Kluyveromyces lactis: one gene and its partners. The protein of the gene in region 1 purifies or fractionates together with the protein of each later gene. This does not show direct contact. Links are inferred from orthologs where the notes say so. Each region holds a gene or a part of one and is shown in the gene's direction. Other genes may lie near its edges.

Region 1 (3,278 bases):
TAGGTGTTGGTAATACTTGTTATCTTTTTTAGTCTGTTCAGTAGAATATGATAAGTCCGTCCTTGGGATAGGAATAATTTTGACATCGTCATCCTCTTTTAATGATAAATCTAAGGTTGATATCAGCTTAAGTTGGCCATTGGTGCTGGCCGCCAGGATGCTATGGTCATTGAATTTTGGAATTATAATTGAAAGTACCGGATAGTGATGATAATTAGTGGAAACAATATTTCTTTCCACCTGAAAGCTATTATTTATTTTGACTGTTCGCAGTTCATATAAGATGAGTTTTCCTGTATAGCAAGAAAGAACGACGGAGGTAATCTTAGAATTAGGATTATCAATAAACTTGCTCCGTACAACATTCTGACCTTGGAATAAAACTGTATCAAGTACCTCACCAGAAGAGACGTGTGTGATTTGAACTAAAGAGCTTTTCACGTATTTGGTTACAAGATGAATCACAGTAACCAGTAAATTATCTAAGACGTCACTGGAAATGACCCTTGCTTCAGAAGTTGAATCAATGGCAACTTTTGGTGAAATTGATAAATACATGCTTATTTTCCCATCACCAGCGATTTGATGAGAAGATGACTTGAGCGCAGCCGCTTCTATAGTCTCCTGTAGTGAAAATGTTTCTTTCTTCAACGTTGCGTAGTCTTCCGCTGAAACGACATTTCCGAAATCAAACACATCCTTTTCAACAACTTCTTTATCCTCCTTGGTCTCTGTAATATCTGAAGTCGATGCTTGCTGTTCTATAAGATCTTGGGAAGGTAGATGTCCATCTTCCATAATTTCATGTTTCCCGTCATATTCATCTGTCTGTATTCCGATATCATATGTTATCACAGCCTCCTTAACAGCGCTCAATTCAAACTCATTTACATCATCTGTTTGCACTGAGATCTCAACAGTTTTTACTTCTTTCTTGACTTCAGATTCGTTGTTATTTATGGAATTGGTGATATGGGAAATGAACGGAAGGGTACAATCTGCTATCTCTTCATGTTTCGAATCAATTTTTTTCCTTTGCAGCTGAAGAGCCTCTATTTTCTGCTTCATCAACTGTAAGCGCTCATTCTTGTCCATATTTCTGGGTATATTCCCCCTGAGGTTGGTGTTGCTGATGAGCGCTTCTTCACTGACGCGTTTTATCTTGCTTCATGTATGGATTTGTTAAGCGTAAACAAAAGATGATAAATAAGATTTGAGTATTATCAAAAATACGATGTTACAGTAAGTTGGATGAATTTCACAATAGGTTGGAGGATAACACATTGCAAGTAAGTCCTTCTTGTCTGAATACACCTTTACAGCAATTATAAAAGCCACCCCGGTGTACTATCCGAACACTTCCTCCGCTTTGAGTCCTGGTGGTAGGATCATATTTCTTTAGTACAATGAGCATTGATATTGACGACATTCTAGCTGAGCTGGATAGGGACACTACAGCTGTTGAACAAAATGCTTCTTCATACCCAGACCAAAGCGATCGAACTCAAGGCAATGATGTCTCTCAGATAAGACCAGCAGATAAGGCGGTTGACCCTGTGGCTCCCACACAGTTTAACAAAATTGACGACTATCAAAAGCTAATTACACATTGGAAGAATGAACGTATGAGTCCGGAGCTGCTTCCATATCCACATCATCTCATGACTAGGACATTAATAAGGATTCAAGAAAGAATTGAACTAATAGAAACACTATCAATGGGATACTTAGAAGATAATCAAGAGTTAACTGTCGATTCAAAGCTACCACTTTTATGCATGGAAGCAGAACTTGAGAGATTGAAGTTCCTAGTTCGATCTTTCATCAGATGCCGGTTAAGCAAAATTGACAAATACAGCATTTACCTAAGACAACAATCCGAACTACCCAATAATGCGGGCCTCAGCAGACTAGATTTATTGATGTCCAAAGAAGAGGTGAAGTACCATATGAAGCATTCTGACATATTACTAAAACTGTTTAACAACGCAGTACTTAAGCACTTACCAGAAGAACTGCAAGCCGTTAACGATACTGAGGGTTCCATCAGTATGATTGATGAACCCGATTGGAATAAAACTGTATTTATACTAGTTTGTGGTGGGGTAGTTGACGAAAGTGGTATTGATTCGAAATTAACGACCGATGATGATGGAAAACACTGTTACTCAGTGATTATTGAAGATTTAAATGAAGAAATTTACTTATTAATCGGGGCAGTATACGTAATACGTTATAGTGTAATACGAGATCTCATGACTGAGGGACGAGTAGTTTTAATATAATGAAAATTCTGAACAGTATTACTGAACCTATGACTCTTCGAAAAATATAGGTTTGTAACGAATGTTTGCCAGCAATAATTTCTCAACAATGTTATTGCGAACACAGCATGTTTTCTACCTAGTGTTATTGACTGCTGGTCTATAGTGCTTTTGAACCAATTTGTATTAGTATTACATCAATTAACGTTGAAAAGTCTATCTAGCATACTCAAAGTGTACCTATTTTTCATATTTACTGTATGCAAAACCCATCCGGCAAGCATATGATCAGCTCAGAGAAATCCTTCAATATCTGGTTTCTGGGCTTGGGCAAGCTTAGCCCTTTTGGTTGTCTGCGGTTGAGATTGAGATAACGACACTGAATGTATTCTTTTCAATCCTGTAGTCGAGTTCATCTCAACGACAGAATCTAATTCCTCGATATTTTGCGAGTTGGCATCTATGTTACTGGAAGAGGACTGGTTTATATTAGATTTGGCATGTTGTGATGATCTAGACTTCATAAATTCCATAAACTTAGGGACTAAAGCTAACTCCTCCTGTGTCTGTTTATGTAGAAGTGTCTTGTTTGTTTTCTCATTGGTATCCAGCTTCCCCTCGTGGAACAAACCAGTGGTATCATTGAACTCAAGCTGGAAAGAAACAGTGACATCATTGATTTTATCCCATATAATTTGGATTTCATCGCCATCATGAAGTAAGATCTTTGTGCCCGGAGTGATTTTCTTTCCATTAACATAGCTTGAGTTAGTACCACTTTGGCAATACCATACATCATCAAGACCTTGAGCTGGAGATTCATAAATACTGTCACCGACAGCGTGTCTTTTCTTCAATATGAAGCAATGTATCCTAGATAAACGATTATCATCAATTTTACAGTTGCATTCGTCTGACCTACCGATGAAGAATGGATTTATCCCTTGTTTTACTTGGACCTTACCTGAAATAGATGAGCCAGGTAAGGAATGCAAAGTGAGAAATAGCCCCTCC
Region 2 (4,621 bases), about 120 kb from region 1:
TCTATTCTTTAGAAAGGTATTCTTTAGAAGTGTCTCGTAGTTTTGTCTTCTTGTCTTTCATGTAATTTATTACATTGTTAAATGTTATGGTCGTAATGCTTTTAATAAGTTCCTCGTATTCCTCGTTGATCTTGGTAACTGCTTCCGACTTTTCCTGCAATTCTATCTGGAATTGTTCATAAGTGAAAGGTTGCAACGATCGTTGGTATAAATTCGGATGGCGTTCACAAAGGTCGGCAAATAGATGAAGAGACTGCAAAAGAAGACTTGCTAATGTGAGGTGTAGAGAGTAATCCCCAAGACTTCTCTTATTAGATACCGACAGGTTGTACATTTCCGGATAAATAGTTATCACTTCGTTAATAATATCGATAGCATACGCTGAAAGGATATTGAGTCTTATGGCTAATCCATCCAAAGTTTCATCCCTAAGTGCTTCCTTTATCTTCTCTACTCCCTCAGTTAAATCACCTGCAAGAATTTGGTATGCAGAGAGTACAATAGGAAGTATTTGCACTTCTAACTCTTTAGCCCATCTGTTTATATTTCTTCTTGTAGCCAAAAGATCATCGGATGCCTTGGAAAACAATTCGTCATCATGCTCAAGACGTCTTCTTTCTGAGTCTATTCGCATGAAGGCGAATATAAATTCGCTGCTGATTTGCTCCGCAAAAGTAATTTCTCGCGACATAAAATGTGCAAATCCTAAATAAAACTTTCCAAGATCTATTACATCGTTCTTCCCATCATACATCACCAAAAAAGGATACTTCTTCCTCAATAATTCTGTTAGTTTCTCGCTATCCAGATGGTTAGCAGAACTTAAGTTGTTCCCACTCATTATTTTGGTACAAATAAACCAGTGAACCACCCCGATGTGATTATAGGCTTTGATGTTGATATACACCCAATAATGAAAAGTAAACGTGCACTTTCCACTGTTAACTTCTATTATAGTCATCCTCGGTTCAAAATACATTGGAAGCATCTTAGTATGGAATTGATCTCCAGTCACGTGAAGAGAATCAAATCCGTTTACAGTGATATATTCTCCCTTTAACCTGAATTTTTCAAAATTTAGTAAAAAAAAAACGCGACGCCAATAATGCATATATTATAGTTTTAAATTGAAGAGTAACATTAATAATTTTTGCAAACTATACCCATTGTTTAAGAGCTGGCAGGAAATTAAAGCAAAGGGACTCTTTGGTACTTTTATTGAAATAACCTGCAAAGCATTTCGTGGCTCGGTATTTCAAACTCATTGTTCTATTAGGCGTGGCAGTTGTCTTTTTTGGTTAGATATTGAGGACCCCATTGTGCTAATCTCAAGTAACAATGAGTGACGGAGGAATTGAAATTGATTTCCAAGCCTTTTATGATAGGTTTACAAAATTAGGGAAGGCATATTCTGGATTTGAAGGTTCTCCAAATAGTCTTCTCTTTGTACTTGGTTCGACTAATGAGGAAAACCCTTATCAAAAGACCACCATTTTGCATAATTGGTTGCTAGGGTATGAGTTTCCAGCTACATTGATTGCCTTTTTCAAGGATAAAGGTGTCATCATAACCAGCAGTGCTAAGGCGAAACATCTTTTGCCCGCTGTTACTAAGTTTGAAGGATCAGATTACAAACTTGAGATCTGGCAAAGAAATAACAAGGATGCAAATCACAATAAGAAATTGTTTGAGGACCTCATCAAGCTGTTATCAGAAAACGGTAATACTGTCGGTGTCCCAACGAAGGATTCATATCAAGGTAAGCTCATTCTTGAATGGAAACCGCTTTGGGAAGAAGCTAAAAAGACGCATTCTTTAAACGTAATCGATTGCTCTGCTGGTTTGTCTTCTACTTGGAAGGGCAAAGATGATAAGGAAAAGGCTTACCTTTCTGTATCCAGTAAGGGATCTGACAAATTCATGGATCTTATGTCAAATGAAATCGTCAATGCTGTTGACGAAGAACTAAAAATATCAAATTCTAAGTTGTCAGATAAAATTGAAAACAAGATAGATGATTCCAAGTTTTTGAAGAAACTTTCAAGTGATCTAAATCCTTTGTGTCCTACCGACGAGAAATTCGACGTTAATTTCCTTGATTGGGCCTATTCTCCAATTGTGCAATCAGGTTCTAAGTTCGACCTTAAGGTTTCTGCTCGTTCTAACAACGACTCACTTTTCGGAAAGGGTTCCATCCTAGCCTCATGCGGTATCAGATACAAGAATTACTGTTCCAATATCACCAGAACTTTTTTGATTGACCCGACAGATGAAATGACTGACAATTATGACTTTTTATTGATTTTGCAAGAGAAGATCATCGATGATTTATTAAAAGTAGAAGCTGATCCAACATCTATTTATGAAAAGACACTGGAATTCATCAAAGAAAAGAAACCGGAATTATTATCTCACTTTACTAAAAATGTTGGTTCTTTGATGGGGTTGGAATTTAGAGACTCTGCTGGTATGATCAATGCTAAACCAACCGCTCATAAAATTTCAGAGAATTGCTGTTACAATATTTCACTCGGATTTGGGAATTTAAAGGATAGTAAAACTGGTCAGGTATATGCTGTTCAATTAGCAGATACCGTTCAACTTTCTTCTGATGGAAAGCCATCCACTTTGACCAAGTACACAAAGGCTAGATCCCAAATCTCGTTTTACTTCAACAACGAAGAAGAGAACAAAGCTGCAACTGTTAAATCTGAAAAAAGCAAGCCTCCTGCTTTACCAAAACCTGATGGTACATCGAAGATTTTGAGATCTAAGCTACGTGGAGAAAGTCGTGCTGACGATGAAGAGAAAGAACAAATCCGCAAAGAGAACCAAAGAAAACTTCATGAAAGATTACAGAAGGAAGGTTTACTCAGATACAGTGATGCAGATGCAGTAGATGGCGATGAGAAGCCAAAGCATTTCTTCAAAAAGTACGAATCTTACGTTAGGGAAACTCAAATACCATCCAATGTACGTGATTTGAAGATTCATGTCGACTGGAAGAGTCAGACAATCATTCTACCAATCTATGGTAGACCTGTACCTTTTCATATCAATTCATACAAAAACGGTTCTAAAAATGAAGAAGGTGAATACACTTATCTCAGATTGAATTTCCATTCTCCTGGTGCTGGAGGTGTCGGTAAGAAAACTGAGGAGTTGCCGTATGAAGAGAACCCAGAGAATCAATTTGTTCGTTCTCTAACTTTAAGATCTAAGGATGGTGCTCGCATGAGCGATGTTTTCAAACAAATTACTGATCTTAAGAAGGAATCTACCAAACGTGAACAGGAAAGAAAAGCTTTGGCTGATGTTGTTGTCCAGGCTAAATTGGTGGAGAACAAAACTGGTAGGACTAAACGTTTGGACCAAATCTTTGTCAGGCCTAGTCCCGATACCAAGCGTGTGCCAGGTACGGTGTTCATTCATGAAAATGGTATCAGATACCAGTCTCCATTGAGGACAGATTCAAGAATTGATATCCTATTCTCAAACATCAAGAATCTATTCTTCCAATCATCAAAGGGAGAACTTATTGTGATCATTCATGTTCATCTAAAGAATCCTATTTTAATGGGTAAAAAGAAGATCCAAGATATTCAATTTTACAGAGAAGCATCTGATATGGCTGTCGATGAGACAGGAAACAGCAGACGCAACAACATGAAATTTAGAAGATATGGTGATGAAGATGAATTAGAACAAGAACAAGAAGAAAGAAGAAAACGTGCTGCCCTTGATAAAGAATTTAGATATTTTGCTGAAGCTATAGCAGAGGCATCCGATGGTCTCCTAGATGTAGATTCTCCATTTAGAGATCTTGGTTTCCAAGGTGTTCCTTCTAGATCAGCCGTGTTCTGTATGCCAACGAGAGACTGCTTAATTCAATTAGTTGAACCGCCATTTTTAGTCATAAATTTGAACGAAGTTGAGATTTGTATACTTGAAAGAGTTCAATTTGGATTGAAGAACTTTGACATGGTCTTTGTTTATAAAGATTTGACAAAGCCTGTTTCTCATATAAACACTGTACCAATTGAGCAACTTGAATTCATTAAGACATGGTTAACAGATGTTGATATTCCATATACTGTTTCTACAATTAACTTGAACTGGTCGACAATCATGAAGTCGCTACAAGATGATCCTCATCAATTCTTTTTGGATGGTGGGTGGTCGTTCTTGGCAACTGGATCCGATGATGAAAGATCTGATGAGAGCGAGGAAGAAATTTCAGAATACGAGGCATCTGATGAGGATCCATCTGATGAGGAAGTGTACTCTGAAGAAGAAGAGGATTATTCGGATGACGAAAAATTCAGTGATGAAGGGTCAGATGATTTCGCCGATGGATCAGAAGATGACGAAGGTGATGACTGGGATGACTTAGAAAAGAAAGCAGCTAAGGCAGATCGTAATAGCAATTACAAAGAGTAAGATTTTTCTGTCTCTGGATAGTTTATCGTTATTTTGGGTTGTATTTTTATAAGCACATAATGTAGGCACTTTAAAATCTTTTTTATTGAAATAGTTGGTTATTCTGGTTGGTTTATTTATCTCAACGTAATTGCATTCTTATTACATATTATACATACGGTTCATCAAATTAACATGACAG
Region 3 (4,757 bases), on another chromosome or scaffold:
ATGCGATGAGATGAGATGAGATGAGATGACATGGCCTCACTGCACCACATTGTCTTCAGTATCCGCTTATAAAACCCTAGTTTAGCTTGAAGCGTACTAAAGGCCAACAGACAATTTTGCGAACTCACAAGTATCGGAAAAAGAGGTAGATATTGATTTAGTCGTGAGTTGAAAGATGGTCTCTACTCATAATAAAGACAAGCCTTGGGATACGGACGAGGTTGACAAATGGAATATCGAGGAGTTTAAACCCGAGGACAACAAGTCTGGCCTTCCTTTTGCTGAAGAATCCAGTTTTATGACTCTATTTCCAAAGTACAGAGAAGCGTACTTGAAATCAGTTTGGAAAGACGTTACGAGGTCTCTCGATGCACATCATATTGCATGCGAATTGAATTTAGTTGAAGGTTCTATGACTGTAAAGACTACAAGAAAAACGTATGATCCAGCAGTAATCTTGAAGGCTCGTGATTTGATTAAACTTTTGGCCAGATCTGTGCCATTCCCACAAGCAGTGAAAATCCTAGAAGACGATGTTGCCTGTGATGTTATAAAGATTGGTAACTTTGTTTCTAATAAAGAAAGGTTCGTGAAAAGAAGGCAGAGACTAGTGGGTCCTAATGGTAACACTTTGAAAGCCTTGGAGCTTCTAACAAAATGTTATATTCTTGTCCAAGGTAATACTGTCTCAGTAATGGGACCATATAAAGGATTAAAGGAAGTACGCCGTGTCGTCGAAGATTGTATGAAAAACGTACATCCTATTTACCATATCAAAGAACTCATGATAAAGAGAGAACTTGCTAAGAAGCCTGAGTTAGCCGAGGAAGACTGGTCTAGATTTTTACCTATGTTCAAGAAGAGAAATGTTGCAAGAAAGAAACCAAAGAAGATCAAGGAGAAGAAAATATACACACCATTCCCACCTGCACAATTACCTAGAAAGGTTGATTTGGAGATTGAGTCCGGTGAGTATTTCTTGAGCAAGAGGGAGAAGGAAGTCAAAAAGTTACATGAGCGCAGGGAACAACAAGCCGCTAAACACGCTGAAAAGGAAAGCGAGAGAGCCAAGGATTTTATTGCACCAAAAGAAACCGACTACAAAAGCTCAATTTCAAAATCTACAAAGAGCTCTTTAGGAGACAGGAAAAGACAGCGTACCGATTAAAGCGCTAGTAAGTATTTTATTATATAATCGCGTTTCCATCCTTTTCTCATGACTCAAATTAAGAAATATAGTTTTAAGTTAAGTTTCAACCAGTTGCTTTGTTCAAAAATCGTCCCAGTAGACACTTTACGATTATATTTATGGACCACGTATACGCTTTTCACTAACTATCATTCATGCCAGCAACGTTCTTGCTTTTCCTTATGTCAAAACCTGCGGTGTGACAAAAATATAGTACGTACGATCAAGAAGGTTTTTTGAAAAGAAAAATGAGAAAACGCGTAAATATTTAAGGCTCGCAGCCCAATCTTATAAGCACGATAATGTTACCAGGTAAGGCATTATTATAACCGTTTTATTAAAGGAATTCAACACCTTGCAAACACTTCGGCACATTATCAAGTGCAGAATGGACCTACTAGATGATTTGAACGTTGGCATTCATAAAAAGAAAGGCAAAACATATTCTAAAGCGAACGATGCAGAAGATGAAGAGCTGAACGTGGGAGAGCACAAGTTTCTAGCAGAGAATCTGCTTGAAAGAGTCAAAAAGAGACTAAATGGAGATTCAGATGATAGCACTGCTTCGGCAATTGATAACAGTAAAAAAAGCACATTCTTCTACAGTGATACCGATTTGTATGAAGGTAAAGAGTTGGACGATGAGTTTGAGGCAATGCGTGAAACTGCTGCAGTACCAAAGCAGCGTGAAGTGGAAATCCAACAGAAAAAACATCCAATATCTCAGACACAATTAATTCCTACATTCTCTTCATCTTGGCTGGCAAAGACTCAAGTAAATACTCAGGCACTGGAGGGCACCAACAGAACCATTGATAGACAACAGCAAGATTTAGACACACAATTGAACAATGAGGAAATTACACAGACTACACCAGATGAACACACTCTTGATAAAGCTGCAACCGAAAGTAAATTGCTGCACAGTAAAGAAACTTCCTTTCGAAATACTTCGTTTACATTTAAGTTGACAACAAACAACAATGAAGGACTACTGGCAACTAAACCAAATGGAACTCAAATAGAGAATGAGCAAAAAGTGGTCGCTACTCAACTTGATGTTGCTGAAAAGGAGAAAGCCGTGCCTCTTATAAAAGATACTATAGAAGAACCACATTTACCTGTAGCACCATTAAAGGCTGTCCGAAAGAAATACCTCCCTGAACAGTTCATTGCAGCTTTTGATGATTCGGAGTCATCCAACGCAGAAGATCTTTCAGATGAGGAAAATGATGCTGATGAATTGAAAGATATGGCATCTACTCAAGAGTTAGTCACGAAACAGAAGAGTGTTGTTACTAATATGAATGGGATTATTGCCATTACTATGAAAAATAGTCCACAAAATGTTATTGAACTGAACTCTTCGTCCGAATCTGAAGATGACTATAAATCACAATCGTCCAAGGCAGCATTATTGCTGATTAAAGCTAAGAGATCCAGGAATAAGGCTACTAAAGCAAAGAACATGCATGTTTCTACAGTTGACTCTTTGAAGGAATTGTTTACATCTTTGAAAACAAAGAACAGAGACCAGATACTTGAATTTAGAAGAGAAATATCCGGTAAAAAAGGAATATCACTTGAAGCGATTGAAGATGAAAAGATTCAAGTTGAAAAGCTTCTAGAGCAAGAGCTTGAAAGGAATAGGAGAGTTAAACTAAGAGAAAAAAGAGAAAGAGAGAAATCAAAAGATACGAGTAAAGCTGCATCTTCTGGTAGCGCATCCGATGTCCCTGATAGCGATGTGATGGAGAGTGATTTAAGCTTATCAGATAGTGATGTCGAGCAGCATTTAGGGCTACACGGGTCCACTGGTTCAGACGAAGATAGCGCGGATACATCGGCAGCCCATAAAAACAACAATCCTATAATAGATGATGACGAGAGTTCTTCGTCAAGTGATGATAATGAAGTCACCCAGGAGCCGATTGGCATCAATTTAGGGCATTATGGCGATAATTTAACTTCCTCAAATGTAACGGAAAATGATGGTGCTGATCAAAGTGACAGAAATGTGCCTTCAAATTCAGAACTGAAGATGAACAGATCACATTCAGCGAAATTATTGGTGGGAGAGTTAAGTTCCGATTCCTCAGTAGACTCTGATTCCTCAGAGGACGAGCTCGACGAAGTAGAAAGGAATAGGCTTCAAGAAAGGGCTAAAATGCGCCGAAGAATGGAAATAGAGGCAGCAAAAAAGCGGAAGCAAGTACTTAAATCAACTGGTCTCAACAAAATATTGGAAATGGAAGCAGAAGAATCTGAGGATGAATGGCATGGTGTTGGTGGTGCTGACGGAGAGAATTCAGATGACTATGACTCAGATTTGGATACCATGATAGATGATTTTTCCAAAAGCAAGTTTGATACCGCTTCAATAAGAGAAAGGTTAGCCTTAGAGAACAAAGAAATGGACGAAAGGATGATAAATAAAATCTTACATGATATCAATACCGGAGGCTTTCGTAAACGTGGCCGAGGAGCACTAGATCTTGAGTTAAGCGATGATGAGGATGAGTTACTACGACAGTTTAGGGAAAAAAGAAGAGAAATAATGAAACAAAAGCTACTAGAAAATGTGGACGGTGTAGTCAATAACTCAAAATCAAAAGCCTTTTTCGATAGTATGGTGGAAGATATAACTAGAAAGTCAATCCCTGCTGTCACATCATTCAGCAATACTCGAGATGAGATGGGAAAGAAGAAAATTGTCATATCAGAAGAGTTTGTTCAGAGTTCATTATCGTTTTTAAGTGCAAAAGATGATGATATCAATGAATTTGAGGTCACTGAAGCAGCACATGATGCAACTGAGGATTTGGAATCTTTGAAACAGCGAAGCAATATTAAATCTCTCGATTCCCCTCAAAGGAATAGAAACTCCGCCTTCTTTGATGATGTGGATGGTACATCTCTGGACTTCAAATTGCCCAGCATCGTAAAGTCTTTTTCGTCAAACTCAGATGTTAATGACAAGTTCAAAACGGGGATCAAAACTGTTACTATATCTAAATCTTATAGAGTAGCCTCTGGTTCTCGATCTGCCATCACTTTCTTGGGTAAAAAGAGAAAATTGAAGGCACCCCAAGGCCGAAAATCCACACCGTTGGTACGCAAACCAACATCTAGCTTGTTTGACTCCAATTCCGATAGTTTCACCTGACCCATCCAACTAATATGTCAATTTCATTATAAAATCTCTTAAAATTACATTTGTATAATCATTATATCAGAAGTTAAATTCAGTGTTCAATGCCTCTTGAAGTTCATTATATGAAACAGTACAAGTTACTAATGGGTCATTTAGCCCACGGATGAACTTTGCGCCATTCGGTCCTATTACTATCGATGTAGAGTAACTGTTAGAGCTTGAATGCCGTTGTCGATTTTCCACAATGGGTCGTCCACTCGATGGAGACGAATTATCAGGATTTCCAATTTCTTTCGTTACTAGAGAGTCCGAATTAAACCACTTTTGAAAAATAGAGGATGCAAATGGGGTTGAGTTGGACGAACTGAACCATCCTCTATACTTCTTAGATGGTGGAGCTGTTACGAACTGGCT
Region 4 (4,881 bases), on another chromosome or scaffold:
AATTAGACACCGATGGTATTTGGTGTATCCTTCCTAAGAGTTTTCCGGAAAATTTTGAAATCAAGCTGCGCAACGGCAAGAAACTATTTCTTTCGTATCCTTGTTCGATGCTTAACTATAAAGTTCATCAAAAATACACTAATCATCAATATCAAGACCTCGTCGACCCTATGAAGTTCAAATACCAAACAAAAAGTGATAATTCCATTTTCTTTGAAGTCGATGGACCATATAAAGCAATGATACTGCCAACTTCCAAAGAAGAAGGTAAAGGTATCAAGAAGAGATATGCTGTGTTCAACGAAGATGGTTCATTGGCTGAACTAAAAGGTTTCGAACTAAAAAGAAGAGGTGAACTACAATTAATCAAAAATTTCCAGAGTGATATTTTCAAGTTATTCCTGGAAGGAACAACCTTAGAGTCATGTTACGCTGCAGTAGCAACAGTTGCTAATAGATGGCTTGATGTATTAGATTCTAAGGGTGCAATGCTCGAAACTGAAGATCTTATTGAACTGATTTGTGAGAATAAAAGTATGTCAAAAACATTAAAGGAGTATCAGGGACAAAAGTCAACTTCCATTACCACCGCAAGAAGGCTCGGTGAATTTTTGGGGGAAGCAATGGTTAAAGACGCAGGCTTACAGTGTAAGTTTATTATCAGTTCCAAACCACATAATGCACCGGTGACAGAAAGGGCTATTCCTGTTGCTATATTTTCTTCCGATCTTCATGTTAAGCGCACATTTTTAAGGAGATGGTTATTGGACTCAAGTCTCAATGACTTTGATCCAAGGGCTATTATCGATTGGGACTATTATAGAGAAAGATTGGCTTCTGTTGTTCAAAAAATTATCACAATACCGGCAGCATTACAAAACATTAAAAACCCTGTACCCCGTGTTGAACATCCTGATTGGTTAAGAAAGAAAATTGCTGTTAGTGAAGATAAATTCAAACAGACTTCCTTGAATCGTTTCTTCAAATCTACCAAAGCTCCACCTGAAGTCAAAGATATAGAAGACTCTTTTGATGAACATTCCGCGAATAAATCACGTATCGCTAAGGTCACGTACAAGAGAAAGAGCAAAAGACGTAATGGGGATACAGCACTAGAAGAAGAGTCTTTGCTGCTACCCTCTGAAATGCCTCCGATGTTAGATGATTATGTGGGCTGGTTACAATATCAAAAAACCAAATGGAAGATCCAGCATATTGATCGAAAGAAAAGAGAAAAGCTATTTGGTAAAACTTCACGAGCATCTGATCGGTCTGCTTTGGGCAATTTGATAAGAAAGCACGTTGAATCATATGCAGATAAAAGCTGGGAAATTTTACAATGTAAACCGTCCATCGATTTAGGTGTCGTAGAAATTTATGCTTTAATCGATAGGAAAATCCAATTGCTGAAAGTAAACATTCCCAAAACTGTACTCATGAACTTCAAGACGGAGAATTTCCCCTCGGGAGGGATTGAAAACTGTATCGTCGAAAAGTCCAACGCGGAACTGCCTAACGTGAAAGGCATCAACAATGAAAGCAGTAGTCAATTGTTTAAACTGACAATGTCAGAAGATACCTATTTCAACGAAGTTAATAAAGCATCAAGCGTATTGAACAACGAGAATGTTTTGGGAATATACGAGAGCTCAATTTCTTCGAATGAAAGAGTCATAATGCGGCTAGGGACGTGTATTCAATTCAGCTCTGAAAAAATGGGTGCGCTAGGAAAAGGTTTACAGAACGGTTTTCATATGAAGAATTTACATCCTGTTGAAGCAGATAGATATCTCCAAAGGTTTGACCTTGATATTGCCTACCTTCTACATTTTGTAACAGATATCGGCTATGAATTCTATTTCTTGTATAAAGCATGGGAAGATGTGGTAGAAATATTTGTGCTGAAACCAAGCACTCATGCTCAAGAAGTTTCTAATAAAGCTATAGAATCTCTTTACAACGAGATATACGAGAAAAAGTTCGAAAAGCTCGATAAATACTATGACTTAATCAAGATAAACAAGAACGTTTCGTTTAACGTGAATGATTATACTGAACTAAAGCGTTTACTGAAGGACCTTTCAAAGATGCTGCAAAATATTAAGGAAGAAAAAGGATCTCACACAATGGTGATTCTACAATCTCCATATACCCATAGAGTTGCTAAATTGTTGCAGCCTTTGAATGCCTTCCCTGTTGTTGAAATAGCTACTGCTGAAACACATTTGCCAGCTTTGAACTGGCAGGGACAATTAATGAGGAAAGCGGTCAATCACATATTGTCTCTTGGTTCTTGGATCTCAAATTTGATTACTCTCTCAAAATACAGCAACATTCCAATATGTAACCTCAAAGTCGATAATCTCGGATACATTATCGATTTGATGTACGCTCGCCAGTTGAAAAAGAACAACATCGTTCTATGGTGGAATGATAAATCGCCGTTGCCTGACCACGGTGGCGTTGAAAGAGATTTTGACCCACGGAAAGCGGAGCTCATGACTGATTTGGTGTTCCCTATTATGAATAACCCTGATATCTATGATGACGTTATCTTCGAAATTAGTGTCTATAACTCTGTTGTGAACACTGTTTTGAGCAGCACCATGTTGAACGAGGCTGAAGGTACAGACCTTGCCCAAAATTCGACATCTAAGGAAGAATCCTTCGGTTTTGTTGAAGATTCTTTCTCTTCTTCGGCCTTGTCAGTGCTTCGCGCACTGTTGAAAGAGCTTTGGGATGATGCCTTAGGTGATAATATCACGGCTGACTCATTAGTACACGCATTTATAGGATGGGTGTATAACCCTGACGCGAAATTATTCGATTATGCTTTGAGATATCACATCCATACTCTCACTCAAAAGGCCGTGTTACAGTTGATCAATGAATTTAAGCTGGCAGGATCATCTCTCATCTTCGCAGACAGAAACAAACTGTTAATCAAAACTCAGAAGCGTTCCGTTGAGAATTCTTACGCCTATGGGCAGTATCTCATGAAAGCGATCAGATCTAAACCAATGTTTGCCTATCTAGACTTGAAAATTGATAGATATTGGGATGTCCTGATTTGGATGGATAAGTATAATTATGGTGGTAGAGCATGTCTACAGATTGAAGATAAAGAAGTTCAGAGTTTCCAGGCTTATTCTCATTGGCATATAAAGGATTTCTTACCTGCAATTTATCAGCAAGAGTTTGATGATTGGTTAGTAGTCATACTGGATAGTATGGTTAAGACAAAGGAAGCCTATCATGAGCGAAATGCATCCACACAAAGATTAACCCAATTACCAAAGAATACACTGGCTGATAGTGACGTAGATAGTCAAACTGACTCTCTAGGCGGTTTTACCCATAATTTTTCAAAAGCTCTCATCAAAAGAGCAGAGAAACTTTACAAGAACCAACAGGAATATATTCTTGATCCTAACTTCGGCAAGGATTATCTATCTCCCACAATTCCTGGGTCGCATCTAGTTGTGAAAAATCCGCTTCTTGAGTTGGTCAAATACTTATCACATATTTTATCACTTTCCAGTAATCATTTATTAGAAGGAAGGGCGCTAAGGAAAGAACTCCTAAAGACATTTGAAATACGCGAATTCGACAGATTAGCTGAATTCAAGGATCCAAGTACATCTTTTGTGATCCCTAGCTTCATATGTGAGCATTGTTCTTATATATCAGATATTGATATTTGCAGAGAAAGTATGGAACGAGTCTTCATATGCCAGAGCTGCAACAGATCCTTGAATAAAAATCTCATTGAAGAGCATGTGATCGAACGACTTCAAGCCCAAGTTGCATCGTTTATTACCCAAGATGTTAAGTGCAATAAATGTCATAAGATCAAAGAGGATGCAATGTCACCTTATTGTCCATGTTCAGGAAAATGGGAACTTGCCGTATCTAAGGAATCTTTCATGGCACAGTTACAAATTTTCAAGAACTTGGCGGAAAGCTTTGACTTTAGAACATTGAAAGAAACTTTGAATGATTTCTTATAGGTTCAAGTCCCTGGCATCTGTTGTATTATCTTTTAGTCTGCTGATGTGTTTACATTTAACATTTATGAGTGTTTATGTGTTAAAATAGATCTGAAAATAAAAAATATATATACACATAAAGGAAATTGTTCTGAACTTAGCATGGTTGAATTCTTCCCACCTGAATGAAGACGCACTATGTGTTATTTACTGCGAATCAAGTGACCCAGAATGGTACGACCTGATGTTAGATATAGAGAAGAACAACTAGATTTTTTGGAAGCGTTTGTCGATGCCGATCCAAAACTGAGCCCGCCAATCTTGTTCATAGAAGGGCCGCATGGAAGTGGTAAGACACATACCCTCAAGAAGTTTTTTGCTTGCAATGAAGAAATCATGAACATTTTACTACCAGCGAAAGATCTGATATATAGCAAATCCACCTGTCAGCGGTTGGCTACATGTCTGCGTCAATTGCTACTGAAACAATTTCCTAGTGTGGAAACCACTGATCTTGATCCATTTGAAGCCGAGGACGTATATCTTTTGCAGAAATTTATCAATAAATTGTTTATCCGATTTAATCACTTGGTAGAACGCGTTAACCTTTATGTTATACTCGATGGGCTGGATGATAATTCACAGGTGAACTTGGAAACACCTACGCAACTCATGGCATTACCTGGATCTATTCTTCCACAAGCGATGATTCAACTTCGGTTAATAATCTCGTTCTCCAAATCCTCATTCTTGTCCAATTACTCAACGTTCAAGGTTCCCACGATCTTCTTCCCCAAATATAAACCACTGGAGATTGAATATATTGTATCACAAACACCAGGTTTCTCGGATGACCCGCTGTTATTGGAAAAAATGGATGAGATAGGATGCG
Region 5 (4,255 bases), on another chromosome or scaffold:
TTACACTAAGATCTGAAAATAGTTCATTCAAGAAAGAATGTGACAATCTAAAGTCGCAATTGCAAGAATGTAATGATAGGCTGGCGCCACTACAGTCGTCCATTTCCTCTTTGCAAAATGGTATCAAAATTAAAGAACAGGAACTCATTCAATCGAAAGAAGAAGCAGAACGGTGGAAAAGCCGTTCTCAAGATATCTTACATAAATATGAACGTATTGATCCTGAAGAACATGGTAAACTAAAGGAGGAAATTAACGATGTTAAAAATGAACTGCAAACTACCAAGGATACTTTGCAAAGCGTCATTGCCGAGAAAGATGACTGGGAATCGAAGTTCCAAAGAATTAGGCTTCAAGCACGTGATAGATTGAATGCCTCCAAGGAAAAGGAACAATCTTTATCATCAGAAATAAACCAAATCAATGAAGCTAAATCTCAAGTGGAGGCCGATTTAGGAAAATGTAAGACCGCTTGCAAAGAGTTAGAAGAAAGATTACAAGTGGTAACGCAAGAAGCAGAAACAAAGGAACAGACTTTTAACTCTCAATTATCTAAATTGCAGGAAGATCTACATTCTATTCAGGTTCAAATGGAAAATGCTTCCAAGACCGAACAGAATAATGCAGATTCAGATGAAAAAATAAAATCGTTGACTGAGACTGTGGAAATGTTAAATAGTAAAATACAGGAGCTTGAAGCCGAAGCCTCCAACGCTCAAAAAATAGTAGCTGAACATCATACGCCAGTTATCAACGAAGACACGAAGTCAATAGTGGATAATTTGAAAACAGAATTTGAAGCTGAAAAAGAACAATTAATAAAAGATAAAGAAAAAGAATTGAGGAGCAAGTTTGAGGCAGAAAAAGAATCTGCTTGGAATTCCAGAGAGGAAGAGCTCCGGAAACAGTTTGAAGAAAGAGAAAAGAGAATTCGTGAAGAGTGCGAAAAGACTACTGTCCAGTCTCCTTCGCAGCCTACCTTGGATATAGACATCGATGCTTTGAAGAATGAATGGGAAAAAGAATATGAGAAGCAGACTCTGGAAAAAATTAAATTAGCAGAAGAAGCCCTCAAGAAACGGATCAGGTTACCTACTCAACAAAAGATTGATAAAATAGTTGAGGCAAGAAAAGCTGTTTTAGAAGAGTCCTTTGAAGAAAAGGTAAACGAAAAGGCCCAAAAATTGGCAGGAGAGATCGGAAATGATGCCATTACTCTAGAAAAGCATCGTGCAGAATTGAATGCACTTAAGGATTCCATGCGTAAGCAATTTGAAGCAGATTTGGCAGAAATAAAACAAAAATCTTTCGAAGAAGGGAAACAGCAAGTTTCCTTGAAATTGAAATTTTTGGAAAGCAAGATCAGGAATTTAGAACAACAAAAGTCCACAATTAAACCTGTAGAGAATGACACTTCTAATATGAGTGCAGCATTCCAGGCCCCTGTATTTGGCTCTCATTCAACATTCACTAGTCCCTTCTCAACGTCAGAAATTTCTCCTAATAAGAGACCCATAGACGACACCGCAACAGAACAGCCTGAGAAACGTCACAAAGAGCCTGAAAGTGATACTGAGGATGGTCAGGAAGCCTGATTCTCCAGACGATTTTATGGCTGTTAATATTACCGAAGTTCTATTTAATTTTTTTCTATTATGTATCATTATTTGACCATTCGTTTTCAACATGTAAAAAATACTAGTATTACTTTCCACAGATATTCAAACGAGAAAACAAAATAATGACATCCCACAAGTAAAGAATGAACGAGAATAGTTACAGAAGCTATCGAGTATAGGTAACAGTGAAGATGCATCATGTCATATGATCTAACTGACCCGAGAGAAATTACGGCGTTCGACCCGTACGAGGAATTATCTGATGATGAATCTGAAATCGAAAGAGGTATGTTCTAATAATAATGGTTACCGAGATCAATGACATTAGAATATCCTACTAACATATTATAACCAATCATTAAATCAAAGTGAAACGAAGAATTGTTGAAATTGACACTGAGAAACGAGATTTAACTAACCGGCTGTTGGAACTAGAGAAGAAGAGAAACCTCAAAGACCCTAATTTCGATTCTATCGACGTTCCAGAGTCTCCTAAGAAATCAGATAATGCTACAAAAGGAATAGAGGATATCAAACATATTGCGCCAGTAGCAGATATAGAGGAAGCTACATTTAATGTTAATGAGGATTATGTAAGGGAAAAGGTCAAAAAGTTGGGTACCACTTCTTACTTTACTGAAAAACTTCGCTCCATCAATACAAATGAACATGAAGCGATTAAAAGGAAGAAAGAATTATTGGCACATCGAGTTTACACATTCAATGGCGACATGTTCGATGAATATGAACCAATTACTGTTGATGAAAAAGATGATTTGAGTGGTCTGGTTATAGACAGAAGGTATGTACCGTTGGCCGTACTTAGGAAACATACTAAAAACATAAAAGTGCTTCGACTTCCAAAGCTCTTCAGTAAGGTGAGAGCCCCTAAGTTCTCTGAACCTGATTATCCCAATTGGTTGGTATTGGGTATCATCTCAAAGAAAACTGAACCAAGAATGACAAATTCTGTGAAACCGGTGAAATTCTTCAGCCTAACCATAAGTGATTTCCAATTTGAACTGAATGTTATTTTCTTTGGGAAAAGTATAGTTGAAAAGTATTACAAACTAAGATTAGGTGATTTGATTGCTATACTTAACCCTGAAATAATGCCTTCCAAGAAACTGGAAGCGGGAGCAAGCCCTAGTTACGCTACATTTTCGTTAAAAGTTAGTAAAGACACCAATAATATACTGGAACTAGGTCACAGTAAGGAATTCGGATTGTGCCAATTTTACATGAAGAACAAAGGCAAGCTATGTGGTGCGCCAATAAACAAATTGCATGATAACTACTGTGCATATCATAAAGAGGCAAAAATGAGGCAAAACAGTTCTAGAAGAGTTGAAATTAGTAGCTCTGTGGCAATGAGAGCGCCAGTTGTCAAAGGATATCAACAGACTATTGTAAAATCACAACACAATAATGGTAAAACATCCATAAGATATCAACAAAATCCTGATAAACCGTTTGTACGAGAACCGGCAGCTGCAGAGACCAACAGATTCCTCTTCAGTTCTGCAAATGCCTCTACCGCGTTTTTCGATGACGACTACGAAAATCCTGACATACTGGCCAACCTTGATAACAAAAGACGCAAAATTCAAGAACTCAGAAACAATCGAAACTTGGAGAAAAAGTTAAAGGGTCTATCCGACAAATTGTTGTCAAAGAAGGAAGACCGAGTCAATCAAGAAGCAAAAAAGACTGCGACGTTGAGCATGTTCCAACATGGTTTAGCGAACCAAATTGGTTATGACCCAACAAAAGGGAAAGCGTCTTTAGAGATGCTTGAATATTCTACAGAGAATAAGGCGCCAAAGAATGATAAACAGCTGGCGATAACGGATATTTGCAATATAAAGAAAGATAATGTTAGCCTGAAACCTTCGAAGAAACAATTGAAAGAGAAAATTGAAAAGAGAAACGCTATCTTCAATGAAATAATGAAAGGCAGCCAAGAGCGGCTCGATAAAGATGAAGGCTCAAGTGATGATTTGGAAATTATATAGACAATAATGTAAGGTTTAATATATTATAAAGAATGTAGTACTTTTAATGATGGCTCCGTACAAGTCTCAATTCTTATCGTGGATGGTGGAGTATTCTTTCCCTCTAACTCTAGTAAGTTAAGAAGTTGCCCATCACAGCAAACTTCAAAGTTGCTCTTTTGTGACGGATCGTCTAGTACTTCGACGTTAAAACAAAATGGCAGTGGTCTGTAAAACGTTCCATTCTGTAAGATGTTTGAATGCTTCGTATTTGAATAACCCATAAATACCCTTTTCTGGAATTCTACTCTATCCAGAGAAGACTGGTATGCCAATACATGTAGTTGTGATTCCAATGGATCAGAATCGGGAGATGGCATATAAGTTGGCTCCAGATTTGTGGTATTTATTAACGCAAAATAACTAAAAGATCCTTCCAGAATATCGGGAATAGAGACGCGAGATTCGAGCTTGTATTCTCTTAAAATTCGCTGGCTAGCAACTCTAAACCTTTCAATGCCCATTTTCTGGTACTCATCTTCTTCGCAGAGATGAAGTAAATTTGCATGAAATCCCAGTGACAAAATTATGAAGAATTTAAGGACATAACCGTTGTCAAAAGTTGCCCTATACAACGGGAAA
Region 6 (4,817 bases), on another chromosome or scaffold:
AATACTGATTCTGATAAAAACAATTCCTCCAGTGATGGTGTAGAATCGTCGTCCACTTCCTCAACCCTTTCTTCAAGACCCAAACTGCCGAACTTGGATCAAACTAAAAAACTTAAAGAGAAAGAAATGGAAACTTGGGTCCAAGATCTTTCACAGTTAGCTTGTGACTTGAAGCAAAGAATCAATACCCTTGAAATGGAAAACAGACTTCTCAAAAATCTTGTCATTGAACGTGGAGATCTCAAGAATGTTGAGTCTTATGAACTATCCAAAAATAACTCCTCCGAAAGCACTAAAAAGGATACTGACAAGTAAGCTATGATTAATAATTAGTTGTAACCTCTAAGTCGGACATATTTACCTGATGATGCGTGTTCTCTAAAACGTAACGTAACTTTCATCCAAGTATAAGGCCAGAGATAAATTTTGTATTAATATATAGTTACATTCCTCGTAGAATCTAACCCTATGATAGAATCGCGATAAGAGTTATTAGAGTGATAACAACAATAGCTACTAGAAGTATTGTACCACATCTGTTCTTTTTCCTTTGATATTCATTTGCTTTGTGAAGTTCTTTGTTCGCCTTTTGCAAATTATTAGATAATCCTGTCACATTTTCGCCAATTGTGTCAACTTGTTCGCCCTGTTCCTGTACCAGACTTCCTAGTTGTTTGAAGATGGCATTGACCTCTTGCACAGCAGAGTGGATTTTTGATATGTCCTGGGATCTTTCATGTTGAATTATCGTGTGAAAATCTAACTCATCCTGATTCAACAAAGGCTCTTGCTGTTGGGTAGACAAAAGTAACGGAGTATCCTCTGAAGAATGATCCCTCCTCTCGATATCGTCTTGTATTGGCATGCTTTCATATTGCGATACGAGATGTTCCGATTCATTATCTTTACTCTCTTCGTCAGGTATGGGATTCTGTACTGCCCTATTCTCATAATCGGTCTTTACACTGTTATATTGTTTGCTTAACGCTTGAAAATCTCGAGCAAATTTATCTTGTGTATCTAGCGAAGTTAAGTCAGCCAGTTTTCGACTAATTTTCTGGATTTCGGGGATTACTCTATTTTTTATATCAACCCTCAATAGTTGTCCGTCCTTGCTTGTCCCTATTAGATGAGCTTTACGCTTGAGTAATTGAATATTCTGTTCTAGTGTTATCAACAAAGGCACCGCATCGTTTCCACTAGAATCTGCACGATTGTCCTCCTTTTTTGGAGTACTATTTTGATAAAAGGACATCAGATGTAACGCGATTATCTTTACGGGTCCTGCTATCAGCTGTTTCCTTAACAGTTATCCTTCCCTTCAGTTAATGATCACAAACCTCAATTTGAGCACTTTAAAATTGAGGACAGTCTTAAACCACAGGTCATGTGATCCATTTTTCTTTCCAAGCCAACGCCAATTGGTTCAACTAATGGAAATTCGTATCATAATATTGAGGAGCGCACACTCTCTAACACTTCAGCGGCTTCACCGTTTAACCACTCAAGTGTTGTCGGTATTCTACTGTCACTCAATCTTTCGCTCGCTTTTCTTCTCATGCACTCTCGCTTTGTCTCAGCGTTGGTGCCATTAAGTTCATAGATTTCGAACGCGTGCTTTGCAGATAGATACAACTTTAAAAAAAAAAAGAACGCGTAAAAGTAAGAACATCTTCATCATCTTCTTCTTGCAACTCAAACCAGGAAAGACAACAAAACTAAATTACTAGGGTAGTTCGTACTGCCACCCTACACTATTAAAACACTAGCTCGGGATGAGTAATGCGAACAAACTTGAACTGCTCAAAAAATTGCAGAAAGCTAGGAATAATAAATCGAATAGGGATGTGCTAGATGAACAACTGGAAGAAGAAAATGTGTATGACTTGATTGACGAGGATCAATATAGGAGTAAGAAAAGACAAGAGTTGTTAAGAGATGATTTTGTTGAAGATGATGATGGCAGTGGATATGTGGATCGTGGTGTAGATGAATGGGATCAAAGTCAGGAGTTCTACTCTGATGAAGACGATGGTGTTGATGCAAAGTCAGGCAAAAAGCGTAATAAGACCAGTAAGAATAACAAAGGTAAGGATACCATCAGCGATATCATAAAGCAACAAAATGTCAAGAGAAAAATGACAATGCCAACAGAAAAACCTAAGAAAGTGTCACTTGCTGAATTTGATGATATTTTGAGTGAATTTGACGCAGAGCCTCTGGTTAAGAAGCCGAAGCTAACGATATCCAGAAAACAACCTGCAAATACTACGCCTATGAACTATAAACACCCTCAGGTAGATACATCCCCACTTAAAGGTAAAGATGTTGTACCTTTTAAAGCTGATAGCGTTAATCCTATCGATTGTGATTCAATGGAAGAGGACCACGATATTGAATCATTATTAAACGATGTGGCTAGTTCTCCTTCAATGAGCAAGCAGAAGACATATCAAAGCGAAGATGACAGTGAAGATGACGAAGATGATATTCACTTTGGTAGAAAAAAATTCAAATCAATAGCTACTCAAAGGCAGATGAATATCAGCGCTCAAACAGCACCATTAACGTCTTCGCCAACATATGTCACTGCTCCTAACACCCCATTGTCAACTTCTACAGGGTCCACACAAGCAACAGAATCAATTTCCGGATCACTGAGACAAAGAATACCTAAAGAGGATGTAGTAGACGCTGAGACCGGTAGTTTTAACTTTTTTTGGACTGATTTTACCGAAGTCAACTCTTCTTTGATTCTCTTTGGTAAAGTTAAAACGAGAAAGAATCAAGTAGTCTCTGCAATGGCGCAAATCAATGGTTTCAATAGAGAGCTGTATTTTCTACCTAAGGAGGGTAAAACAGCGTCTGATGTCCACCAAGAAATTGTACCTCTATTATTGGATAAATATGGCTTACAATCACTTCGCGCTAAGCCTGAAACGAAAAAGTATGCCTTTGAACTTCCAGGAATACCACACGAAGCGGAGTATTTGAAGGTTTTGTTACCTTATGATACTCCTAAATGCAAGTCAATTACTATTCCCGCTGAACTTGAGGGAGATACATTCAGTCACGTCTTCGGTGGTAACCAAAACCTTTTTGAGAGTTTTGTTGTCCAAAGGAAAATCATGGGCCCTTGCTGGCTTAAGATATCAGATGGCGATTTTGATGCAGTTCAAGGCGCTTCGCATTGTGCTATTGAGGTTCAAATTGATTCACCTAATCATATCTCAGCAACGAATGAAAAATCATCTCCGAGCTTGAACTGTATATCATTGTCTATTCAGACCGTCATGAATGCAAAAGAAAACAAGCAGGAAATTGTTGCTATAAGTATGGCTGTCTTCAAAAATTTATCTCAAGATTCATCAATTCCACAAAATCTCAAACCAAATGAAATAGTGACACTAGTAAGGCCTCCACAAGGATCAACTTTTCCACCTCTTCTGGGACCTAAATCAAAGAAAGAATTATCCGGAAATGTGCGTCTCTTCAATAACGAAAAGACGTTATTAAACTGTTTCTGTGCTCTCTTGAAGGTAAATGATCCTGATGTTATAATAGGACATAGATTGGAAGGTGTCATCTTGGATGTTCTGGCACACAGAGCTTATGAGTTAAATATTCCTCAATTTAGTGTCTTTGGGAGAAGACTGCGGAAAGCATGGCCAGACAAGTTTGGAAAACATAATAATAGTATGACACAGTTCATAGTTAGGGATTTATTTGCAGGTAGGTTGTTATGTGACATTTCCAATGAAATGGGTCAGTCACTAACTCCAAAATGTCAAAATTGGGAACTAAACGAAATGTATCAAGTTTCCTGCGGTATTGAAAGAAAATCTCTCGAAATTAATTACCTAAACCCAATATATCAGGAAGATGAATCCCAGATGCTTCTAGCGCTAGGCGAAAACATCGAAAACTCCATTATAACAGCAGAAGTTGCATTCCGCATTCAAATTCTCTCTTTAACCAAACAACTGACTAATTTAGCAGGCAATGGATGGAGACAGACTTTGGGTGGTACAAGAGCTGGTAGAAATGAATATATTTTGCTTCATGAATTTAACAGAAATGATTACATTGTTCCTGATAAAGAAACAAGGCAAATGAAGCAAGACAGACAACAAAAGAATGAAGATCCTATGGAGCCACAAGTGTCCAGTAAAAAATCAAAATATCAGGGTGGGTTGGTCTTTGAACCAGAAAAAGGTTTGCATAAAAACTATATCTTGGTCATGGATTTCAATTCGTTGTACCCATCTATCATTCAAGAGTTTAATATTTGCTTCACTACTGTTGACAGGAATCCACAGGATAATGAAGAACTTCCAGATGTGCCTTCAAGAGAAAAATCACGAGGTGTACTGCCAAGATTATTGGCCAACCTGGTCCAAAGACGTAGAGAAGTGAAAAATCTAATGAAGACTGAAAATGACGCAAGTAAAAAAGCCCAATATGATATCAGGCAGCAAGCTTTGAAGCTTACGGCAAATTCTATGTATGGTTGTTTGGGTTATGTGAACAGTAGATTTTATGCTAAACCGTTAGCAATGTTAGTTACAAATAAGGGGAGAGAAATTCTCATGAACACAAGACAATTAGCGGAGAGTCTGGGTCTAACAGTTGTGTACGGTGATACCGATTCGGTCATGATCAGTACTGGCTGTGACAATTACATGGATGCAATCAAAATTGGTGAAAACTTTAAAAAGCTGGTGAATGAAAGATACAGTTTGCTTGAAATAGACATTGATAACATCTTCAAAAGGTTACTGTTGCATGCTAAGAAAAAGTATGCTGCATTGAATGTT
Region 7 (4,152 bases), on another chromosome or scaffold:
CGATTGGCTCATCATTAGATCATTGTAAGGTACCAGGAAGACCATTTGAGACGGAATTAAATGAAAAGCAAATGGAAGTCGGTATGGGTATCCATAATGAACCAGGTGTTCAAGTCTTGGACAGCATTCCACCTTTGGAGCAGTTGATTGAGAAATATATGCTACCCAAGTTACTTGATTCAGAGGATGAAGACAGACATTTTGTATCTTTTGATAAAAAAGACGAGGTAGTTCTCCTTGTCAACAATTTAGGTGGTGTGTCTAACTTCATCTTAACTGCCATCGTTGATATCACGAAATCTTTTTTACAAAAGAATTATGACATTACTCCAGTTCAAAGTATTTGCGGAACTTTAATGACATCTTTCAATGGAAATGGATTCAGTATCACGTTGTTCAATGCGTCAAAGTCATCTGGAGCTATCAAGAAGGAGTTCAGCGAAGTAAAATCTGTGCTTGACTTATTAAACGACCATACAGAGGCGCCAGCATGGCCAATAAAAGATGTCGAAATGGGTAAATCTCCTACATATGACGAGGGTATTCTCGAGGATGTTATTGACGTTAAAAAGGCTGGAACATACGACTTCGAGAAATTATCGGAGCTGTTGAAGGCAGGTGCCGATCAATTGATTAAAAGTGAACCTCATATTACACATTTGGATAACCAAGTTGGTGACGGTGACTGTGGTTATACGTTAGTAGCTGGCGCTAAGGCAATCACTGAAAACTTGGATAAAATATCCTCCAAGTATTTGTCTCAGACCCTTGCAGAAATTTCTGATCATATTGAATCCGCAATGGGTGGTACATCCGGTGGTTTGTACTCTATATTCATTTCGGGCCTTTCAAAAGGAATTATTGAACAATGCGGAGAAAATGATGCGGTGGACAAAGAAGCCTTCGCCAAATCGCTAGAAGTTGCATACGAGACATTGTGTAAATATACTAGAGCTAGGCCAGGTGATTCTACTATGATCGATGCCTTGGAGCCATTCGTGAAAGAGTTTAGTTCAACTCAGGACTTCCATAAGGCCTTTTCCAAGGCGGAAGGAGGTGCAGAATCTACAGGAAACTTAGAAGCCAAGTTCGGCCGTGCATCTTACGTGGAAGACACTGAAGCAATTCCGGACCCAGGAGCTATCGGTTTGGTCGAATTCCTCAGGGGTGTTGATTCCAAATTGTAGATTCATTTTCAAATGAGCTGCCTCCTTTATTCTTTCCACCTAGTTATTATTTTATAACAAACTATATACAGCTTCCTACATTAACCAAATTTATGACCTAGCGGTAATTGCAGTATCATACATTGTTCCTCCGGCAACAGGGGGGTGGGCCTCGACCTGATAGTTCTTCGTGTGTAAAAACTGTCTCTTTTCCGTTCACTCCCCCATCTTACCTCTTGTCAACGTGACGCGAATTGGAAACTTTACTAGAAATGAAAATGAAAAATCGCCAAAGTGTTTAAGATGTTGTTAAAACATGAACAAATAAGAAGACATATGAAACCGTTAACGGTAGGCAGAGTTGTTAGCCCATAGTTTACGTTAGACAGGTCAGTATTACTGAAATCTAGTGATCTTCGTCTTGGATACCTACTTTTTATTTCTTATATTGGGATAGTGGAGAATGAGTACAGATTTCGATAGAATTTATTACAACCAATCCAAGCTCGGTGGACGTTTCCGTCTAGCTGAAGGAGGTCTTGGTTGGAAGGCATCCGCTACAGGTGGGTCAGCCTCTACTCAAAATAATGAACCTTTGCTATTGGCTGCAGATGAGGTTTCTTCCGTTCAATGGAGTAGAGGATGTAGAGGCTACGAATTGAAAATTAGTACTAAGAATAAGGGATTGATTCAAATGGATGGGTTCCAACAAGAGGATTTCAACCTATTGAAGAATGACTTCCAACGTAGATTCAACATGCAATTAGAGCACAGGGAACATTCTTTACGTGGTTGGAATTGGGGTAAATTGGACTTAGCTAGAAACGAAATGGTTTTTTCATTGAACGGTAAGCCAACTTTTGAAATCCCTTACACGCACATCAATAACACTAATTTAACAGCAAAAAATGAGATTGCATTAGAATTTGACACCCAAAATGAGGCATATAATCCTGCAGGTGATGAACTTGTTGAAATGAGGTTATATGTTCCAGGCACAGTTGAAGAAAATGAAGATCAAGATCAAATCATGGTAAAGGACGAAGCAGAAGCAGAAGACGGTGTTAAGTCGGAGGTTAAGACGGAAGAGGGTAGTGAAGAACCAGACGTTCAAGAAGAGAAGACTTTAGCAGAATATTTCTACGAAGAATTGAGATCTAAGGCAGATATCGGTGAAATTTCTGGTGATGCCATCATTTCTTTCCAGGATCTGTTCTTCACTACGCCAAGAGGCCGTTACGACATTGATATCTACAAAAACTCTATCAGACTTAGAGGTAAGACTTATGAGTACAAGTTACAACATCGTCAAATAAACAGAATCTTCTCTTTGCCAAAAGCTGACGACATCCATTACTTGATGGTTTTATCGATTGATCCACCAATCCGTCAAGGTCAGACATCCTACCCATTCTTGGTGTTACAATTCCAGAAGGACGAGGAAACAGAAGTCCAACTAAATGTGGAAGATGATGAGTTCGAAAAGCTTTACAAGGATAAACTAAAGAAACAATACGATGCTAAAACTCACATTGTACTAAGTCATGTCTTAAAGGGTTTGACAGGAAGAAGAGTCATTGTTCCTGGTGAATACAAGTCTAAGTATGACCAATGCGCGGTATCCTGTTCATACAAAGTCAATGAAGGCCACTTATACCCATTGGACAATGCGTTTTTGTTCTTGACGAAACCAACCCTATATATACCCTTCCAAGATATTGCTGCGGTCAATATTTCAAGAGCTGGTCAGACATCTACATCAGCCAGAACATTCGATTTGGAAGTTGTTATGCGTGCCAATAGAGGTACTACTACTTTTGCTAATATTTCTAAAGAGGAACAACAACTTCTAGAGACATTCTTGAGGTCCAAAAACTTGAGGGTAAAGAACGAAGATAAGGAAGCAGAACAGAGACTGCAGACTGCCTTCGGCTCAGACAGCGATGATGATGATGTAGATATTAACATGGGTTCTGCAGGTGAGGATGAAGAATCTGTAGATGAAGATTTCCATGCGTCCGACGAAGATGACGATGTCGCTGAAGAATTTGATTCAGAAGCATCCGCCTCCGATTCAGAAGGTGAAACCTCAAAGTCTGAAAGACCTTCCAAGAAAGCCAAGTTGGAATGAAAAACTCATATATCATGTATTAGTACAAATAAATAAATAAAAAACTATATACACTCCTCGCGGTATTTGTCGAATAATGTGTCTTTCTTTTGTTTGATTGACTAGTTCTTTAATTTTTAGTACATCTAAATGGCTTGACAAAAGAATAAGGGTCCCATCCAGAGAACTAAACTTCAAAGGGTTGAGAGAAGGATAATTTTGCTAAGCCCGTAAAAGTATCGACTGCTTTTTTCATGCTTCAATCATTTAATGGTTCTGTAAGAGTTATTCTATGACTTCTGGTGAAAGATCCTTAAATCAAGAACTAGAATGATGAAATGAATGCACAAAGAAATTTTGATCCAAGATAACTCGCTTCATACATTCGAGGTATATTAGATATTAGTATGATAGCTACAGACGGTACCTTAACTATAGAATATATCATAGAGATTCCTGGAGTTGACGAATTGTCCGGGAATAGTTTCTTTTTCACTATAAGAAAAGATTCATAGCTAAACGACAATGAAGGGTCGGAATTGACTTTGAACTCAGCATGAATGACTCAGGATGACATGACAAATATAGATAAATACATGGCAAGCGAGTTTGGTAAAACGTGTGTTGAAGACAAAATTCCATTGGTTTAAATTATTCCTGATAGTTGTCACATGCTGCTCTTTCGACTTTGACCAGCGAAGAAAACATCTATACCAGTCATGATGCTAACCAGTGAGATACTTCTCTGAACATCAAAGGTGAGCAGGGATCTCGTTGTATGAAATGACCGAACTTCAACTGTTGCATTTGTATTGAATAGAGAAAAGGTTCTAAAATGGTAAAACTTCCCTGTACTAAGCCTTGTTGTGTGGAGAA

The links.
Region 2: the proteins of SLD5 (region 1) and SPT16 purify together in Saccharomyces cerevisiae (affinity purification with western blotting; 3 studies listed by BioGRID, with this or other methods). This does not show direct contact. The link is inferred for Kluyveromyces lactis from reciprocal best matches to the Saccharomyces cerevisiae genes SLD5 and SPT16.
Region 3: the proteins of SLD5 (region 1) and MRC1 purify together in Saccharomyces cerevisiae (affinity purification with western blotting; 3 studies listed by BioGRID, with this or other methods). This does not show direct contact. The link is inferred for Kluyveromyces lactis from reciprocal best matches to the Saccharomyces cerevisiae genes SLD5 and MRC1.
Region 4: the proteins of SLD5 (region 1) and POL2 purify together in Saccharomyces cerevisiae (affinity purification with western blotting; 5 studies listed by BioGRID, with this or other methods). This does not show direct contact. The link is inferred for Kluyveromyces lactis from reciprocal best matches to the Saccharomyces cerevisiae genes SLD5 and POL2.
Region 5: the proteins of SLD5 (region 1) and MCM10 purify together in Saccharomyces cerevisiae (affinity purification with mass spectrometry; 3 studies listed by BioGRID, with this or other methods). This does not show direct contact. The link is inferred for Kluyveromyces lactis from reciprocal best matches to the Saccharomyces cerevisiae genes SLD5 and MCM10.
Region 6: the proteins of SLD5 (region 1) and POL1 purify together in Saccharomyces cerevisiae (affinity purification with western blotting; 9 studies listed by BioGRID). This does not show direct contact. The link is inferred for Kluyveromyces lactis from reciprocal best matches to the Saccharomyces cerevisiae genes SLD5 and POL1.
Region 7: the proteins of SLD5 (region 1) and POB3 purify together in Saccharomyces cerevisiae (affinity purification with western blotting; 6 studies listed by BioGRID, with this or other methods). This does not show direct contact. The link is inferred for Kluyveromyces lactis from reciprocal best matches to the Saccharomyces cerevisiae genes SLD5 and POB3.

The regions. Positions count from the first base shown.
Region 1 is NC_006042.1:1,023,572-1,026,849, forward strand, and holds SLD5 (DNA replication protein SLD5), read left to right. Parts: upstream 1-1,406; coding exon 1,407-2,285; downstream 2,286-3,278. Other genes in the region: PAC11 (dynein intermediate chain), read right to left, coding at 1-1,095; serine/threonine/tyrosine protein kinase RAD53, read right to left, coding at 2,558-3,278. UniProt on the Saccharomyces cerevisiae protein: Required for DNA replication. Functions as part of the GINS complex which plays an essential role in the initiation of DNA replication by binding to DNA replication origins and facilitating the assembly of the DNA replication machinery.
Region 2 is NC_006042.1:906,640-911,260, forward strand, and holds SPT16 (chromatin-remodeling protein SPT16), read left to right. Parts: upstream 1-1,338; coding exon 1,339-4,440; downstream 4,441-4,621. Other genes in the region: KLLA0_F09867g (uncharacterized protein), read right to left, coding at 2-1,111. UniProt on the Saccharomyces cerevisiae protein: Component of the FACT complex, a general chromatin factor that acts to reorganize nucleosomes. The FACT complex is involved in multiple processes that require DNA as a template such as mRNA elongation, DNA replication and DNA repair.
Region 3 is NC_006039.1:34,995-39,751, reverse strand, and holds MRC1 (chromatin-modulating protein MRC1), read left to right. Parts: upstream 1-1,577; coding exon 1,578-4,355; downstream 4,356-4,757. Other genes in the region: ribosome biosynthesis protein KRR1, read left to right, coding at 176-1,168; VAC17 (Vac17p), read right to left, coding at 4,422-4,757. UniProt on the Saccharomyces cerevisiae protein: Required for normal DNA replication. Phosphorylated in response to DNA replication stress. Phosphorylation allows it to mediate the activation of RAD53.
Region 4 is NC_006039.1:231,822-236,702, forward strand, and holds the end of POL2 (DNA polymerase epsilon catalytic subunit), read left to right. Parts: coding exon 1-4,010; downstream 4,011-4,881. Other genes in the region: ORC5 (origin recognition complex subunit 5), read left to right, coding at 4,221-4,881. UniProt on the Saccharomyces cerevisiae protein: Catalytic component of the DNA polymerase epsilon complex which participates in chromosomal DNA replication.
Region 5 is NC_006037.1:50,644-54,898, reverse strand, and holds MCM10 (Mcm10p), read left to right. Parts: upstream 1-1,817; coding exon 1,818-1,905; intron 1,906-1,988; coding exon 1,989-3,634; downstream 3,635-4,255. Other genes in the region: MLP2 (Mlp2p), read left to right, coding at 1-1,595; KLLA0_A00550g (uncharacterized protein), read right to left, coding at 3,658-4,255. UniProt on the Saccharomyces cerevisiae protein: Required for DNA synthesis. Required for entry into or completion of S phase. Involved in DNA replication and seems to participate in the activation of the pre-replication complex (pre-RC) and in transcription elongation.
Region 6 is NC_006039.1:1,128,554-1,133,370, forward strand, and holds the start of POL1 (DNA-directed DNA polymerase alpha catalytic subunit POL1), read left to right. Parts: upstream 1-1,775; coding exon 1,776-4,817. Other genes in the region: MET4 (Met4p), read left to right, coding at 1-315; SNAP receptor VAM3, read right to left, coding at 467-1,255. UniProt on the Saccharomyces cerevisiae protein: Catalytic component of DNA polymerase alpha, which in complex with DNA primase (DNA polymerase alpha:primase) constitutes a replicative polymerase. POL1 has a role in promoting telomere replication during interaction with CDC13.
Region 7 is NC_006038.1:444,503-448,654, forward strand, and holds POB3 (FACT complex subunit POB3), read left to right. Parts: upstream 1-1,629; coding exon 1,630-3,297; downstream 3,298-4,152. Other genes in the region: DAK1 (dihydroxyacetone kinase), read left to right, coding at 1-1,187. UniProt on the Saccharomyces cerevisiae protein: Component of the FACT complex, a general chromatin factor that acts to reorganize nucleosomes. The FACT complex is involved in multiple processes that require DNA as a template such as mRNA elongation, DNA replication and DNA repair.